Kluyveromyces lactis: one gene and its partner. The protein of the gene in region 1 interacts with the protein of each later gene in a pairwise test. Links are inferred from orthologs where the notes say so. Each region holds a gene or a part of one and is shown in the gene's direction. Other genes may lie near its edges.

Region 1 (2,957 bases):
TCCATTTGATCCAAGTAAACAACGAACGAGTGGCCTTTCTCGCTCGTTGCGGCGGTAATATTGTCTCCTTTGCTCATATGATAGACAGCTCTATGTATTCCGTGTTGAATTTCTTCCAATTTGATATCTCTTTTGTCTGCTTCTGTTTTAATCTCAGCATTCTTCGCTAGCCATGGCTTCATAGAGTCGAGTACTTGGGTAATTGGTGTAACAAAGTTCGGTAAAACTTTACAACCTAAATCATAATCAATGTGTTCATCAATTTCTATTTCATTCTCTACATCACTCACTTGTTCCTCCTCACTGACCTCACCATCGTCTTCTCTATCTTCTATGAATTCCTCTTCATCTTCATCTTCATCCTCGTCACCACCATTTTCTTGTCCTGGAGATACGCTATCTCTAGTGTTTCCTTTTTTGGCCTTCAAATGTAACCTTTCTGAAGGGTCCTTATTCAATATTGTCCACTTCAGGTAGGCTTGGTCCTTTATACTTACTCGACTCGCAGACCTTGATATCGATCTGCTTGATGATATGCCGGTATCTCTTGTCTTACTCCGGGACCTACCTCTTTGCTCTGGTTCCTCTATCTTTATAGTTGGAAACGCTGGAGGCGCAGCCAGATGCTTATCATCAGTTAGTTTCTTATTCAAAATACCTCTTCCAGGTTCTTCCATGTCTAAATATGTTCAATGGCTCACTTGTAGTATACTTTGTCTGCGACCGGAGATTGAAGCTAAGTTGATAGTTATTTCAATGATGTTGGATTAAATATTCGTCCTGTGAATTCAGTAGAATAGTATTAGCTGTGATACAAAAAGTTAAAATTATTTCACAGGTACAAGCTAGTGTCGCGGATAAAGAAAGTAAATGTGTGACTGGTGACTTGTATTAGGAATCTTTTCTCTGGTGTGAAAACATAGCAGTATAATCGTTTTTCAAGGTTATTTTGGCTTTTTATTTTTATCATATGTTTTCATATCACTTCACAATTTCAGTGCCTGTACTGCGAACGCTTAAAAAAAGTTAGAATTCTACAGACTGAAATGCTAAGAAAGGATATGAAATAGCAGTTTCTCTTGTAACTTTTGGGGAGGCGATCTTGAAAACTAATACCTTCCTTGTAGGACGTATCAAATATTGCATTCTAATTATTCTCCCGCACATATTTCAAGCTGCAAATATTAAATCGAGAGTTGTTATGATATAACGGTGATAAATAAGGGATAAGAAACTAAGAGATGGACTTTGATTATGAGAACGCCAAGTTCTCAATGCCAGAGAAAAGAATATTCGATAGTCAGGGTACCCTTGACTTCCAGAATTCAGTCGCAATGGTTAGAATACAATATCACTTGCAGAAGTATATTACGCTTTGTAAGGGCCAGCAGATACCAGATACAATCAAAGAAAGTTTTTTCACTAATATCGTAGTGGAACTACTCAAAAGGCTGTCTGCCTTGATAGACGAGACACCTCCTGAGAGAATGCATAGTAGATATGGAAACCTTTCATACAGAGATTGGCAAACGAAGTTTCAAAACCAATTGGAGAATTGGTTGCATGAGTTATTGCCCGAAAAGTACAACAACAGCATCATAGAACTTTCATATTACATATCTAATGCATTTGGATCGAAGGAAAGAATTGACTATGGAACTGGTCATGAATTGTCCTTTTTAGCTGTGATAATTTGTTTGGATATGCTAAAAATTGAAACAATAAAGGGGCCGGCGCTACTTTATTGTTTCAATTCATATTACGACGTGATTCAGAAACTAATCTTAACCTATAAATTGGAACCTGCTGGGTCTCATGGCGTTTGGGGGCTAGATGATCATTTTCATTTCTCATACATTTTAGGAGCCACTCAATTGTTAGATGTGAATACTTCTTTAATACCAAAGGATATTTCTAATACTAGATTGATGGAACAAAACAGCTCTAGCAATCTATTTTGCAAATCAATACGATTCATTAATGTCGTAAAATCGGGCCCATTTTCCAATCATTCTCCTCTACTCTACAACATATCAAGGAGTGTTCATACATGGCACAAGATGCAACAGGGTTTGATTAAAATGTACAAGGTAGAAGTTTTAAATAAGTTTCCAGTCGTGCAGCACTTTTGGTTCGGAACCGCATTTTTCCCATGGACGAGTTATGGTAACAATCACTCTTTGCCAATATATCAGCCTGCAGAAAATAACGACGATGCTGATTTTTTGACTGCAAACAATGCTACTACGAAAATGCCTCCACCTTTGAGTACAAGCACATCTAGGTTTATACACAGACGTTAACACAGCATATATGGGATGAGATTAAAGATCTATTTAACCTGCTTTTATTCTTCGCTTAAGGATGATATTAATGATTTAATTCCTCCCATAAATAAATAGTATATCCAGATTAAAAGATACTAAAGCGTATGTATGTACTATAACCATATTGATAAAGGCTGTTAGTGATAAATTAAAAAGGACGAAAGTAATAGAAAAACGAATGAGAAAAACCCCAAGATATCTGTAGAATTTTCTTGTTATATATGTAGTCGAGAAAAAGATAGTTTCTAAATGCAAGAATCAAATAATCCGAGCCAATGGTATGTGTATTATTGTTAGTTGGTTTTTTATGAATCTCAGAATTTTATATTAATAATAATGAACCGGCTACGGTTGAGATAGTCTGGTTGAAGGTAACGGAAAAAGTGAAACTATGTTGAAGAGAAAATATTACTCAATAATATTTCACTCTGCCTCTTTTCGTTATTTTGGTATAGCACTTCTGTTGAGGACATTGTGATTATAATTGCGGACCAGCAGCTAAGACTTGTTCGGTAGCCTTATCTTGGTAGGTCTTGAAGTTTTCTACAAACAAATTAGCCAATGACTTGACATTTGAAGTGTACTTAGCTTCACCTTCAGCCCAGTTCTTACTTGGATTTAGTAGAGAAG
Region 2 (2,801 bases), on another chromosome or scaffold:
CCATGTGGTATCATTATCAGCAAGTTGCCAGATTTCAACAAGTTATCTCAATGGGACCCTATCCTAGCACAGAAATACACAGCTCTTGTGATTGCCGTTAAAAACGGAAACTTGAACAGAGTAAACTTCTGGCTTTACGAGAACGAATCGTGGCTGAAATCATCTAAATTGTTGATTGTTCTATTGGAAAAGCTACCCATTATAACGTTCAGATCCCTTTTGCGATCTATTTTCCTATACTACTGTATACCGCGCAATTCAAATAAACTACCATACTCTGTGATAAGACCAATTCTAGCAAAATCCATCGGTTTATATCCACCTGAAATGCCATCGATATATAAAGACAATTACACCGCAGAATCACTTGAAAATATCCTTGTCACACTTTCAATTCAACAATTGTGGAAGGGAAATGTGTTTCCAAGCCTGCAAGTGTGCGTTACGATGAAGACTAACGATATCTCAGTAATCTTCCCTAATATCAATGAAAAGATCGTCTCTAGATTTTCGTTGAACCAGGAAGATTCCTGGCTCGATAAGTAAATGATAGATAATATACATATAGTATGTAAAAATAGATGACACAGCCCCTCCTAACCTGATTCGGGTCCCACTATCATACCCAGTCGTGAAACACTTTTGGAAGACTCAATTTTTACAGACATGTCTATATAGATATAAGAATGCTCTCACATATATCTGTTTGTCTTCCAGGTCACATTCTGCAAAAAAAAGTAAGAAATTGAAGAGAAGTTGAAATTTTGTTGAAGTTTCCATTATTTTTGTAAAAGGACTGATGATTACAACAGAAAACAAAGAGAGAAGGAAACATCCTTATAGCTAACTACTTTGTTAACAAGCTTTTAGCCATCAACAAAGAGTAGTGATATAGGGCTGTTCTTTGTTTGAGCTATTGAATTTTCCTATAGTGAGTGAGTGTTTCTTGTTGAAAAGAAAAGGTGCAAGAAATACTTCCAAACACAGGTTTTAAGCTTGTTGTGGTTTTTATTTACAAGAACGCTAATCATAATCACTTTACAAGAAATTCAGAAGGAATTTATCCCAATTTTTTCACAGGTAAGGACTGGGTTTTATTATAATTATTATTTTTTTTATTGACCTTTGAACTTTATCTTCCCTTGTAAAGGTTAATTTGCCATTGCATAAGTTCATCTATCTATAGAGCGTTTTGTCTCCGGAGTGCTAAAATATCACAATGTCAGATAATGGGCCAGATTTGTGGCTTGAGAAGATCAAGAAATGTCAGGCTTTGACGGAGTCTGAGATGAAACAGCTATGCGAGATGATGAAGGAACTCTTAATGGAAGAATCGAATATTCAGCCGGTTCAATCGCCGGTGACTGTTTGTGGTGATATTCACGGACAATTTCATGACCTTTTAGAACTATTCAGAACTGCTGGTGGGTTTCCTGATCAAGTAAACTATATTTTTCTTGGTGACTATGTAGATCGTGGTTATTACAGTTTGGAGACGTTCACACTTCTTATGTGTTTGAAAGTGAAATATCCTTCCAGAATTACTTTGGTTAGAGGAAATCATGAGTCGAGGCAAATTACACAAGTTTATGGGTTTTATGAGGAATGTTTAAATAAGTATGGTTCCACAACGGTTTGGAAGTATTGTTGTCAAGTGTTTGATTTCTTAACTTTGGCAGCTATTATTGACGGGAAAATTTTATGTGTGCATGGTGGTTTGTCTCCCGAGATTAGAATGCTTGATCAGATCAGAGTTCTATCGAGAGCCCAAGAAGTTCCTCATGAAGGTGGCTTCTCCGATTTGTTATGGAGTGACCCCGACAACGTGGAAGCATGGCAAGTCTCACCTCGTGGTGCCGGATGGTTGTTCGGTAGCAAAGTCTCACGAGAATTTAATCATGTGAATGGCCTAAGCCTAATCGCAAGAGCTCACCAGCTAGTTATGGAAGGATTCAAATACCATTTTCCGGAGAAGGATGTTGTAACGGTATGGTCTGCACCTAATTATTGTTATCGATGTGGTAATGTGGCGAGTGTCATGAAAGTCGAAGATGATTTAGATCCAACATTCAAAATTTTTTCCGCTGTACCTGACGATTACATCCAAGAAACAAACAATAATAACCAAAGAGGTGGATATTTCTTATAGAGCGACATTGCAGCGGCCTTTTTGTCTGTATAATCTTCTATGCGAACTTACATCGGACTAAACATTCTTTTTCTCCTTCTATTTGAGAATTCCTTCTTAATATACTGTACACTAGAAATCAAACATTTACCTAACTTTTACGAATTCAAAGATATCCATCAGGAATTAGGATTTAATTGGAAAGTGGACTATAAACAACGTAATTTTTAATGGGTTGAAATCATTACTGAGAAACCAACCCCCCTGAAACTTAAATAGTCTAAAACCCGGTAATATATATAGATATATGTATTAATGATAACGTTTAAACTGCCATTATGTCTTTCACGAGGCTTCACAGAGTCCTGATCTAATCCAAACTAGATCATCGAATATATTCAATTTGATATGGAATCATATATAGAATATCGTGTGTAGAATAGGTTTTTTTTTTTCTTACCAGTATCTCTTCAGCTCCAAAGCTGCATTGAAATATTTAAAATTTCAAGAGCATTTTATACAAAAAATGTAGCCATATGATTGCACTTATAACTTTCATAAATGATGTGATACCAACAAAACGCAGCATTTTGGTTACTCACATCGGGAATAAACGGTTTAACAATAACAAGGATTGCTAATACAGTATCAACTATAAATTGTAATGTTACGC

Evidence for each region.
Region 2: the proteins of RRD1 (region 1) and SIT4 interact in binary tests that used the Saccharomyces cerevisiae proteins (3 or more experiments, as listed by UniProt). The link is inferred for Kluyveromyces lactis from reciprocal best matches to the Saccharomyces cerevisiae genes RRD1 and SIT4.

Annotation. Positions count from the first base shown.
Region 1 is NC_006037.1:37,525-40,481, forward strand, and holds RRD1 (peptidylprolyl isomerase RRD1), read left to right. Parts: upstream 1-1,241; coding exon 1,242-2,303; downstream 2,304-2,957. Other genes in the region: IMP21 (Imp21p), read right to left, coding at 1-677; phosphoenolpyruvate carboxykinase PCK1, read right to left, coding at 2,806-2,957. UniProt on the Saccharomyces cerevisiae protein: PPIases accelerate the folding of proteins. It catalyzes the cis-trans isomerization of proline imidic peptide bonds in oligopeptides.
Region 2 is NC_006040.1:313,591-316,391, reverse strand, and holds SIT4 (type 2A-related serine/threonine-protein phosphatase SIT4), read left to right. Parts: upstream 1-1,219; coding exon 1,220-2,149; downstream 2,150-2,801. Other genes in the region: THP1 (Thp1p), read left to right, coding at 1-546; KLLA0_D03630g (SCO family protein), read left to right, coding at 2,793-2,801. UniProt on the Saccharomyces cerevisiae protein: Involved in the dephosphorylation of the large subunit of RNA polymerase II. Is required in late G1 for normal G1 cyclin expression, bud initiation and expression of certain genes that are periodically expressed during late G1.